Macaca mulatta: one gene and its partners. The protein of the gene in region 1 interacts with the protein of each later gene in a pairwise test. Links are inferred from orthologs where the notes say so. Each region holds a gene or a part of one and is shown on either strand. Other genes may lie near its edges.

Region 1 (4,161 bases):
TCTGAAGTGGGCTAAAGTCTGATCACGCAAACTTCATGGATAAGCTCTCCATAACCAAGAATTTGCTATATTTGAATCTTTAAAGAATAGCTTCACAAATTTCACACTGATATTCAATACATGTAAAACAGGCATATAATTTGACTGTTTTTAAATGTTGTCACCTTTCCATCAAAATATCTATGGAAGATTTCTTTCATAAAATATGGTATGTTGAAATACATAAGAGCACAGCAGTACATCTTTTTTTTTTTTTTTTTTTTTTGAGACGGGGTCTTGCTCTGTTGCCCAGGCTGGAATGCAGTGGCAGGATCTCGGCTCATTGCAAACTCCGCCTCTCGAGTTCACGCCATTCTCCTGCCTCAACCTCTGGAGTAGCTGGGACTACAGGCGCCCACGACCATGCCCGGCTAATTTTTTTTTTTTTTTTTTTTTTCAGTAGAGACGGGGTTTCACTGTGTTAGCCAGGATGGTCTCGATCTCCTGACCTCGTGATCCGCCTGCCTTGGCCTCCCAAAGTGATAGATTACAGGCGTGAGCCACTGCGCCCGGCCAGCAGTATGTACTTTTTAAAAGGTCCAGCTTTGTGAAAAATATTAACTGGTAACAATGACATGAAAACATGACATACTTACCGTCCCAAATTGCTTCACATTTTGAGCACACTTCTTACAAATTGTGTTAGTTTTGCTGAAAAAGAAATTGTATATATATCATGTTTATGTAGCTTTCTAAAGCAATTAGCACAATGCCAAAATAAAATGAGTCAAAGATTTGTAGTACTTAAAACTTACTCTAATATGGACCACAGATTTTTCTCAAAAACACAAGGATCTTTTCAGAGTTGTTTTACCCAAATTAACTTAAGACAAATATTTTTATACATTTTTATTGTGTATTTCTTTTTGTATACAAAACATCATAATGTTTCCTATATAGCTCCAAAATCTTCACACTTGCCACTATTAATGCACAGCATTACAATACCAGTGCCTACCTAACCTTCCACTTGGCTATTGTCCAACATTATAATGCCCACACCTATTTAAGAAGAAATTATTTGTTCTTTTCTGAGGCTACTTTCTGTATATACTCTCAGAGCAGAAGTAACTGTTAAAAATGTTACGTACTACTCCTCTTCCATGTAACAAATTACTACATTTCACCCTTGGACGGCAGTTGGTAACACTACAGACTTTTCCTCAGGTCCATTAAAGCTTTACCTTTTTTTTTTAGCGTAACAGTAACTGTTTACATTTGCATTTTCATTAGCAAGGCTGTACATTTTCCACGTAGTAATTTATTCTGTCTCATATAAAGTGTAACGGTAAATTAACAACCCCTGGTTTTTTTGGCAACATTCTCTCCCACCATGTATAAAAGGTTTACAACTTAAAATTTCTGGGGCTAAACCATTTTTTAAAAATACTTTCACAAAAATATGGGATTACAACCCCCAAATATTCCATACAGACAACACTTGTCTTTAACAGTCAAAAACTGTTCAGTATACAAACCTCTCTTGTTGAAATTCTGATCTGCAGTAAGTACATTTTACAATAGGATGTGCAATCCGACATTCCTGTAATAAGACAATACATTAGTCGGTATCTATCTGAAAGTCCCAAATGTCACTTTTCTGGTAGAAAATTGTTTACCCAACCTAGTGAAATGTCTAAAATATTGATAAAACCTGGCCCCAACGTAAGGAACTGGATGCTTTATCATATAAGTGGCCAATCACAATATAATTCCTCAGGGAAGGCATAGGTGTCTTTGTCTTTAGTAGACGTGGGGTATATTACAGACAAATTAAGAAAGCTGTCAGGGCCGATTTCAAGGATTGGTTAAATGTGAAACTACTTATTATTTTGCACCGTTGCTCACAGACAGCATCCTGGCTTTAATGGGATGGGAGGAGCTCCAAATCAGAGCATTCTGTTCCCAAACCAGTCGCTTCGCTTTCCTGGACAGGGAAGGAGGATGCCATCAGCTTTGCGGCTTCGGGTTCCTAGCAAGAAAGTGCAAAAATCGTCCCCTGCCTCCTGGTGGAAGAAGAGGACAGACCAGGCAGAAAACCGAGATGAAAACATCTCCACCCCTGGGTCTCTGCGGTATAGACAGGTGGCTGCCTCACTCAACCCCACCTCTGAGACCCCTCAGACGCTGACGGGGTTCGGCACCCGCCCGGGCCTCCTGGAAGAGGGCACGATTCTGCCTCCCTCTCAGGGGCCGTTCCCAGCTGATGTTCAAGCCCCCAGAAAAAGGGGTCCCCGAGTGGGGAGGCGGGGACACCAGACTCCCAAACCCCCGAGGCGCCGGCAAAGAGAGAGGGGCTGCAGTGCAGCGGCTACCCGGCCCCCTCCGGCTACGACCGAGGACATCCATCCCGCCCTCCTCCCGGAGGCCACGGACCTTGCAGAGCTGCTGGCCCTGGGAGAGCTCCTCGAAGGGATAGCGTTGGGTACACTTGGTGCAGGCGTACAGGGCCGAGGCCGCCATCCTGCTCCTCAGTCTCCTCCTCCGCCGCCGCCCGCTCCGAGGCGGGGCCCTACGGAGAACTCGAGACCCGCCGCCGCCGCCCGGGCCGCGGGCTCCTCCTCCTCCCCCTCCCCCTGCCTCGCGCCCACCAGGGCCTCGCCGCCAGAGCCCAGGGCCCCGCGGACGACGCCACCGTCTCCCTCCGCCTCCACTTCCGCCCCAGCCCACCCAGTGACGCCGTGCCAGCCGCTCCCGCTTAGGCCCCGATAGCGGCGGAGGGAGACGAAGCGGGTAGGGGTTGCTGTTTAGCTGCGCGACCGCGGATCCGCTTCCTTCTCGGCCTCCCTTCCCCATCCCTGATTGGCTGCGGAGGCCACGCGTCACTCGGTGGCTCCTCCCAACCTCCAACTTCCGCGACGCCTGGAGCGCCCACAAAGGGAGGATGTCGCCGGCCAATGAGAGCCCGGAGCTCTCAGCGCGCGAAATCCGCTTTGAACCTGCCCCGCCCAAAGGTCTGCGGTCGCGGCTATTTCTAACAGCCAGTCCCAGGTTTGGGTGAGAGCGCCCCAATCCAATTGGGCAAGTGTTCGCGAAAGGCTCGTTCTCTGCCGCAACTTTTTTATCCTTGCTTTCTATTGGACTAAGTCGTTAAGTCCCTCCTAATCCTATTTGTTATTGGCCAAAAGGTAAGTACTTCACCTGGAGAGGCGTCCCCGAGGCAAACTCACGCTCTCTCCTGCGTTTAATCCGAGGGAACTCGTGGAGTGCTTTAACTTCGCCTTCGCTTTTGTTTTATCTCCATTACTCCGTTCGGTTGCCACTGGCGACAACACTACTCGCCCACGCTTCTTACTGGAGGAGGCCCGCCCCACCGTAGAATCCCCGCAGAGCCGGCCAGTAGCCCGCGGCGTTGTAGGCCCCCAGCAGGCCCAGTTACGCGCTACCTTGTGACGTCACCAGGGAAGAGGCGGATTCTCTCCTGCTACTAAAAGACGCCTGCTGTTTTGATTGGCTAGGGAAGACGTCCGTTAGGACGTGTTGCCTTTTCTGTGTACGGTGTGAGCGTAGGCTGCTCTGAGGGGGTGTGTGGCAGGGGTTTCCAAGGCGAGCACCAGCACCGTTGCCCTTTTCCATCAGGGGTTCAGCCCAGGGTCGCCCCTGGTGGGCGGCTCCCGAGTCTTGGAGAAGAGCACGAGAACCCAGACCGCCCCCAAGGTGCGGAGACCCCCCCTGGGCAGGCTGAAAGATGGCGGCGGCGTCTGTCTCTGCGGCTTCTGGTTCCCAGTTGTCGGTAAGCAGCAGTTGGCGCGAGTGGTCCCCACGTCGGTCCCAAGCGCCTCTTTGAGTTTCCTCACTTTCAGGGCTCTGTCAGTCCAGCTTCTGAGTCAATTCCGGAGGACGGCGGGAGTGCCTAGATTGCCCCGCGCTCCCCAAGCTTCCATTCACTGTTCCTCTGTCGAGACTGCACCCTCTGGCTTCCAGTGAAACTGGAACGGAGACTGGCCGTCTCTGTTCCCCATCCTTCATTCACCTTTCGGCGTAGCAACCCCGGTTGCCTAACATTCTCAAGGCCCAACTGGGATAACTGCCCACTCCCTGGCCTGCGAAAACGTAGCTCGTTTGGTCACGTGAGTTCAGCGGCCCCTCTAGGAAACTCGCCAGAGCAGGTAGGCGCGCCGG
Region 2 (4,419 bases), on another chromosome or scaffold:
CCACACCTGGCCTCACCTTTACTTTTTTGTTTGTTTGTTTGAGACGGACTCTCCCTGTCTCCCAGGCTGGAGTGCAGTGGTGCTATCTCAGCTCACTGCAAGCTCCACCTCCTGGGTTCACGCCATTCTCCTGCCTCAGCCTCCTGAGTAGCTGAGACTACAGGCGCCTGCCAGCACGCTTGGCTAATTTTTTGTATTTTAGTAGAGACGGGGTTTCACTGTGTTAGCCAGGATGGTCTCGATCTCCTGACCTCGTGATCCACCCACCTCGGCCTCCCAGAGTGCTGGGATTACAGGCGTGAGCCACCACGCCCAGCCACCTTTACTTTCAAAGGAAGAAACTGAAGCTCAGAGATGTTAAGTACAGTCAGCCCTCCGTATCCAACCAGAGATCAAAAAATATTGGGTGTGGTGGCTCACACCTCTAATCCCAGCACTTTGGGAGGCCTAAGTGGGCGGATCACGAGGTCAGGAGTTCGAGACCAGCCTGACCAACATGGTGAAACCCCCATCTCTACTAAAAATACAAAAATTAGCCATGCGTGGTAGTGCACACCTGTAATCCCAGCTACTCAAGAGGCTGAGGCAGGAAAACGCTTGAGCCCAGGAGGTGGGGGTTGCAGTGAGTGGAGGAGATCGTGCCACCATACTCCAGCCTGGGTGATAGAGCGAGACTGAGATTCCGTCTCACAAAACAAAACAAAAACCCCAGAAAATGTTACATTGTTGCTGAGGTATACTATGTAGTTAGGCTTAGGATGGGTGCATCTATACTGAACATGTACAGATTGTTCTTTCTTATTATTCCCTAAACAATTCAGGATCACAACTATTTACATGGCATTTCTTTTTTTTTTTTTAATTTATTTATTATTGTTATACTTTAAGTTGTAGGGTACATGTGCATAACGTGCAGGTTTGTTATATATGTATACTTGTGCCATGTTGGTGTGCTGCACTCTTTTTCTTTTCTTTTTTTTTTTTCTTTTTTTTTTTGAGACGGAGTCTTGCTCTGACGCCCAGGCTGTAGTACCGTGGCGCAATCTCAGCTCACTGCAACCTCTGCCTCCCGGGTTCAAGCAATTCTCCTGCCTCAGCTTCCTGAGCAGCCTCCTGAGTCTGCTACCACACCTGGCTAATTTTTGTATTTTTAGTAGAGATAGGGGTTTCACCATGTTGGCCAGGCTGCCAGTCTCGAACTCCTGACCTCAGGTGATCCACCCACCACAGTCTCCCAAAGTGTGGGGATTACAGGCATGAGCCACCGTGCCCAGCCAACATGGCATTTCCATTGTATTAGGCATAAGTAATCTAGAAATGATTTAAAGTATGTATAGGTTATATGCAAATATCACACCATTTTGTATCAGGGACTTGAGCACCCACAGACTTTGGGGTCCTGGAACCAGTTCCATGAAGATACCAAGGGACACCGATAACATGTCACACATCAGGTCATGGTGACGACAGGCTTTGATGGCCCCAGAGCGTATTGGACCTGGGTTAATATCACTAGTGGCACAATGGGCAGTGCCTGAGAATGGACCCCTACGCCCCAGGGGGATAGGTGCAACAGGTACGACAGAAACAGGGACTGCCTGGAAATCGCACTTGAGTCCTAATCCTGGAATTGCCAACTGTGAGGGCCTGAGAAGTTGCTCCCTGTCTGTGCCTCAGTTCCCCCACGAGTCTATGTGTGGATACCATTGGAGGGGGGAAGGGCAGGAAATGTCACCCACTCAGTCACTCACATCCTCTCTGCTCCAATTGGCTTTCCTCAAGTGCCCCTCCCCTAACTCAGCATCCCGAAGAGGCCACCTCCTGGACAGATAAGGATGCAGTTGACTGGTCCTGGACAGTGGACCCTCTCCTCAGCCCCACAGCTCCCAGGCAAAACACCTGCAGCTGGCACTGCCTACTTCCTGCGTGTTCTCAGCAGGCTGTCCGCTGCCCTGGCTTGCTGGGAAGGGGAGTCTGTCTGCACAGGAGTGTTCAGCTCTCTGGTGAGTTACCTGTGCATGGCCCCTCCTGTTTACCCTGAGTTGAGGGAGTATAGTGTATGCTTCTACTGAATACATGCACACGCATACAGAAACAGGGATGAGGAGGCGAGTCGCAGTCTCTCACGCCACCCTACACCGCCAAAACAGCCAGAGGGGACAGCAGCCTCTTCAAGACCCTAGCTCCGTTATCTTCCACTAGGTGGCAGCCCCCAACTCCGAGTGCCAAGGGGAGAAGAAATTCCCAAAAGGGGAGCCAGCCTAGCTGCAACTGAGCAGGAAAAAGTGGCTGGGAGAGGCGGAAGTTAGCTCGTCCCACCCCCAAAAAGAGGAAGTAAGGAGGAGCCAGACCAGGTTCAGTCACCACTCCCAAGTCCCTACTACCTTCGAGAAGCCAAGGTTTCAGGTCCCGTTCCCAGGCCCTCGGAGCTCCCAGCCCAGGGTCGCGCGCCCCTCCGGCTTCAGGCCGCCGCGGGAACCACCCACCACCACCACGAGAGGGAAAGAAGCCGGCACCTACCGACAGGGGTGGAGCTGAGTCAAGAATGGTGTGGTCCCTGCTTTGGGGGAATGCTGGGGAGGTAGAAAGCCCCCTTCTAACAGAGGTCACTGCAGTTACTGCTTCCTCTTTCCCATAAAACTCCCTCTAGTGTATCAGAACCCCCAAGGAGTTTCAATAAGCGGTTCTTGTCTTGTCTCCGGCTGAGACTCCCGGGGAACCTCAAGCTCACATGGCCCTGGCCGGGCCCCTGGGCAGGAGCAGGCCAGAGGTCTGCGCGGCCGCCCTCCTACCTGCGTCCGGATCCGCGGTCCCTGGGCAGCAGCAACCGGGCAGCGCTCAGACTACAGATCCCAGCGCGGTGACCCGCCTACCTCAGTTTCCATTGGCCAGGGATCAGGGCTGCCGCACTCCCATTGGCTACTTATCAATGTGGAGGTGGGGCCAGCCTGGAATGCTGTGTTTCTTTTCTACTCAAATCACTCTCCTCCCCGCTTCCTCTCGCCCCACACCCCATTTCTAGGGATCATGTGATTGGAGAATCATGTGACGCCGGGCCAGCCTCAGCAGGGCAGCTGGTGCTCGTCGCCTTCTTTCACCCATCCTGCAGGTGCCTGGGGGAGTTTGCTAGAGATGATAGCGCGTGTCTGGGGCATTGACAGTGCGAGGGACTGTTATGAATTGGGAATATTTGTGCTCCTCTTTCTATTCTTTTGTTTGTTTGTTTGTTTGTTTTGAAATGGAGTCTCACTCTGTCGCCAAGCTGGAGTGCAGTGGCACGATCTCGGCTCACTGCAACCTCTGCCTCCCGGGTTCAAGCGATTCTCCTGCCTCAGTCTCCCGAGTAGTTGGGACTACAGGCGCGCGCCACCAAGTCCAGCTAATTTTTGTATTTTTAGTAGAGACGGGGTTTCACCATGTTGGCCAGGATGGTCTTGATCTCTTGACCTCGTGATCCGCCCGCCTCGGCCTCCCAAAGCGCTGGGATTACAGGCCTAAGCCACCGCACCCGACCTTGTGTGTTTGTTTTAGAGAAAGGGTCTCGCTTGGTCGCCCAAGCTGATCATAGCTCACTGCGGCCTGCAACTCCTGCTCCCAAAGCGATTCTCCTACCGCAGGCCCCCGAGGAACTGGGATTACAGGTGTGAGCTACCGGGCTCACTCGCTCCTATCCTATCCTATCCTGCCCTGTCCTGTCCTGCCCTATTCTGCAAACTCGGATGACATGCTAGGCAGGGCCCAGAGTGAGTTGAAGGATGGTTTCCAGGACAAAGATAAACAGCCCAAAAGCCCTTTCCTCCAGGTGCTCAGCAGGACAGGGGGCAGGGATTGGTGGGAGACAGTCTCAGGCTGAATCTAATTTAATATACAAGGTCGTGCGCCAGTTGCCAGGTGTGGGGAGAGGAAGTAGATTGTCTACAGGTGGGGAAGAAGATATTTCATTCCACCTTAGAAGCATCTCCTTGAGCTGAGTTTGGGAAGATTTTAACTGGCAGGTGGAGGAGGTGTGTTGGGAAGAGCCCTGGGAAACCAGATGGGAAGGGCAGGCTTGGCAGGGATTGAATGCCATGTTCAATGCCAGTGGGCTTCAGGAGCTGCTAGGTGCCTGGCACAGGCAGGGCTGTGGCGGGGGCTGTCGAAAGGGAAGTGGCTTCCTAGTCTCCCCTGGCCCTGCCTTCGAGGAATTGATATGGGAGGGTGAGGAGAGAAAATGTACCACAGAACACATTAGCCAGTGACGAGAGTCAGGCTGCTCGGTGCCAATGGGCCTGGGCCAGGCAGAGATGGGTGATGGGAGATGGGCCAGGAGAGAGGAGAGGCCCAGGGAAAACCTGGTACTGGGCTGTGGAGGAAGGGCAGTGTCTGCACAGGGGATGGAGACTGCTGCAGCCTGAGCAAGACACTGGAGCTGAGGGTGAG
Region 3 (3,226 bases), on another chromosome or scaffold:
TCTCCCACTATTATCGTGTGGGAGTCTAAGTCTCTTTGTAGGTCTCTAAGAACTTGTTTCATGAATCTGGGTGCTTTTGTATTGGGTGCATATATATTTAGGATAATTAGTTCTTCTCATTGAATTGATCCTTTTATCATTATGTAATGCCCTTCTTTGTCTTTTTTGATCTTTGTTGGCTTAAAGTCTGTTTTATCAGAGACTAGAATTGCAACCCCTGCTTATTTTGCTTTCCATTTGCTTGGTAAATTTTCCTCCATTCCTTTATTTTGAGCCTATGTGTGTCTTTGCAAGTGAGATGGGTCTCCTGAATACAGCACACTAGTGGGTCTTGACTCATCCAATTTGCCAGTCTGTGTCAAGCTATTGTTTCTACGAAATAATATATTTCCACTGTAGCCTGACTTTGCCGGGTAGTCCTCCAACAGAGCCCTTAGCCATACCCATCAAAGGTCAGAGGCTTCAAACCCTGCAGCCTGTGGGCCCCACCAAGCACTCAGTGGAGCCCTGGCCTAATTTTGGAGAGACCTGCAGCCTGGGGCATCATCAGAGCCTCTGCTCTGCCATTTCAAAGATTTAGTAAAAATAGTGATCATAGAGTGAGGAGATGAGGGATCCATGATCAGAACTTTGGGGGCTCACTAGGGCACAGGTATGTTCCCAAGCACAGGCATGGGCTGATACACACAGGTGTATAGGTATTTGTGAGACAAGGCTCTGCAATCAGACCCTTTTATTTGTACATTTACTATGACAATGTCCAGGAGACAACAGTAGAACTACTACATTCTGATGACTTTCTGGCCCATAAGGGAAGAGACCTTGGAGCTCCCAAGGACACCATTGCAGGTGATGTTGCCTGAGACGTGAGAGGTGTGAACGCTATTGTTCACACCACTGGGGGAAGGTCCCATAGCAGTTCAACATGAAATGAAACAAAGGTGCTTGCCCCTCATCTCCATCCCTACTGGGCTGGGCCTGCAGCTGCCTCCCTGCTCCTCTCTGTAAGCCCATCTCTGCCCAGGAAGACATTATTCCCTCACACCTGCCCCAGGGCTCACCCCCAGCAGAGATACGCCCCACGGTTCCCACTGACAACCAGCAGTGTCAACCCACAGGGTGGATCTCGCCTTGTGGCCAGGACGACGGAGCATCATCAAACCTGAACACATCTCCCTCTCCTCCAGGCCCAGAAACTGAGGTTCTCCTAACCTCATCCCTCCTTAGGTGCAGAAGTGTTTTATAAGCGCAAACTCCTCCTGGGATGGAGCAGAGGGCTGTCAATTCCAGAATATCGCCTCATTGCCACTGTCCCTGCTTCTGGAGTGCGCTTTGATGCAATCAATAGATTTCTACTGGTTTATCTATGGACAAACCCACATTAGGGAAGACCCAACTCCAGTCAGGAGCCTCACAAACCAGAACATCCACAAACAATGAACCAACACTACTAACACAACAGTGCCTACAACAACAAGGAAAACGAAGGCTTCTCAAAGCCAGCCAGGGGTAGCACAATCAACACAGAGGGGTATAAAGGTTCCAACCACTCAGAACACCTGGCACGACCACTCACTCACTCACTCACTCACTCACTCACATCTCCCCCAGCTCACCTCCTCCGCACCCCAGCATGGCCACATCCACCATGTCCGTCTGCTCCAGCACTTGCTCTGACTCCTGGCAGGTGGACGACTGCCCAGAGAGCTGCTGTGAGCCCCCCTGCTGTGCCCCCAGCTGCTGCGCCCCGGCCCCCTGCCTGACCCTGTTCTGCACCCCAGTGAGCTGTGTGTCCAGCCCCTGCTGCCAGGTGGCCTGTGAGCCCAGCCCCTGCCAATCAGGCTGCACCAGCTCCTGCACACCCTCGTGCTGCCAGCAGTCTAGCTGCCAGCCGGCTTGCTGCACCTCCTCCCCCTGCCAGCAGTCCTGCTGCGTGCCTGTCTGCTGCAAGCCCGTCTGCTGCAAGCCTGTGTGCTGTGTGCCCGTCTGCTGCAAGCCTGTGTGCTGTGTGCCTACCTGCTCTGAGGATTCCTCTTCATGCTGCCAGCAGTCTAGCTGCCAGCCAGCTTGCTGTGCCTCTTCCTCCTGCCAGCAGGCCTGCTGCGTGCCCGCCTGCTGCAAGCCCGTGTGCTGTGTGCCCACCTGCTCTGAGGATTCCTCTTCATGCTGCCAGCAGTCTAGCTGCCAGCCAGCTTGCTGCACCTCCTCCCCGTGTCAGCAGGCCTGCTGTGTGCCCGTCTGCTGCAAGCCTGTCTGCTGCAAGTCTGTCTGCTGTGTGCCCGTCTGCTCTGGGGCTTCTACTTCATGCTGCCAGCAGTCTAGCTGCCAGCCAGCTTGCTGCACCTCCTCTCCGTGTCAGCAGTCCTCCTGTGTGCCTATCTGCTGCAAGCCTGTCTGCTGCAAGTCCGTCTGCTGTGTGCCCGTCTGCTCTGGGGCTTCCACTTCATGCTGCCAGCAATCTAGCTGCCAGCCGGCTTGTTGCACCACCTCCTGCTGCAGACCCTCCTCCTCTGTGTCCCTCCTCTGCCGCCCTGTGTGCAGGCCCGCCTGCTGCGTGCCCATCTCCTCCTGCTGTGCCCCCACCTCCTCCTGCCAGACCAGTTGCTGCCGCCCAGCCTCCTGCGTGTCCCTCCTCTGCCGCCCCGTGTGCTCCCGCCTCTCTTCCGCGTGCTGCGGCCTCTCCTCAGGCCAGAAGTCCAGCTGCTGACGGGCAGGTCCTGTTTCTCCAGAGTTGTTCCAGGGCCATCTCTGACTTCCGAAAATCCTTGCAGCCCTGAGCCCTGTCTGAGTCTCCTCTGCCCAGAGCCACTGTACCTCCAACCGGCAACGCTGAGCCTTCATGCTGAGTTCCCTCCAGGCATGCATCTCTCCCACACCCTCATCTCCATCCTGGCCAGCCGGTGGTCGCTGCGTCCTGCCCCATGTGTGTGATCAGTCTGTCAACGAATAAAGTCACCACTGTGCCCTCTCAGAGGTCTTTTTTGCATGTCTGGCAAGCCCTGGGGGAAGAACTTCGATGTGCTGTGTGGGGCGGGAGCTTCGGGCCTCTGGCCTTGAGCTGCATCCAGGCTGACAGCACCAGGGGCAGAAGCAGTCCTGACTTCCCGCTGTGTGGGGTCTGCTGCTGTGGGGTCCCCTGCCAGCCTCAGCATCTCCAGGCCCCAGGGGTGCCCTTCTCTATGAATGCCCTGCACCCACTGGGCCTGGCCTCTCCCTCCCTCTCTCT

What was found.
Region 2: the proteins of FAM76B (region 1) and GRN interact in binary tests that used the Homo sapiens proteins (3 or more experiments, as listed by UniProt). The link is inferred for Macaca mulatta from reciprocal best matches to the Homo sapiens genes FAM76B and GRN.
Region 3: the proteins of FAM76B (region 1) and uncharacterized protein LOC711182 interact in binary tests that used the Homo sapiens proteins (3 or more experiments, as listed by UniProt). The two-hybrid records come from large-scale screens. The link is inferred for Macaca mulatta from reciprocal best matches to the Homo sapiens genes FAM76B and KRTAP10-11.

Annotation. Positions count from the first base shown.
Region 1 is NC_133419.1:96,600,578-96,604,738, forward strand, and holds the start of FAM76B (protein FAM76B), read right to left. Parts: upstream 2,828-4,161; 5' UTR 2,503-2,827; coding exon 2,416-2,502; intron 2,012-2,415; exon of another isoform or gene 1,897-2,011; coding exon of another isoform or gene 1,888-1,896; intron 1,583-1,887; coding exon 1,518-1,582; intron 691-1,517; coding exon 636-690; intron 1-635. Other genes in the region: CEP57 (centrosomal protein of 57 kDa), read left to right, coding at 3,728-3,772. UniProt on the Homo sapiens protein: Negatively regulates the NF-kappa-B-mediated inflammatory pathway by preventing the translocation of HNRNPA2B1 from the nucleus to the cytoplasm.
Region 2 is NC_133421.1:68,721,705-68,726,123, reverse strand, and holds the start of GRN (progranulin), read right to left. Parts: upstream 2,826-4,419; 5' UTR 2,793-2,825; exon of another isoform or gene 2,521-2,792; intron 2,517-2,520; 5' UTR 2,385-2,516; intron 1-2,384. UniProt on the Homo sapiens protein: Secreted protein that acts as a key regulator of lysosomal function and as a growth factor involved in inflammation, wound healing and cell proliferation. Regulates protein trafficking to lysosomes, and also the activity of lysosomal enzymes.
Region 3 is NC_133408.1:2,975,373-2,978,598, forward strand, and holds uncharacterized protein LOC711182, read left to right. Parts: upstream 1-1,499; 5' UTR 1,500-1,633; coding exon 1,634-2,251; coding exon of another isoform or gene 2,252-2,389; coding exon 2,390-2,707; 3' UTR 2,708-2,711; downstream 2,712-3,226. UniProt on the Homo sapiens protein: In the hair cortex, hair keratin intermediate filaments are embedded in an interfilamentous matrix, consisting of hair keratin-associated proteins (KRTAP), which are essential for the formation of a rigid and resistant hair shaft through their extensive disulfide bond cross-linking with abundant cysteine residues of hair keratins.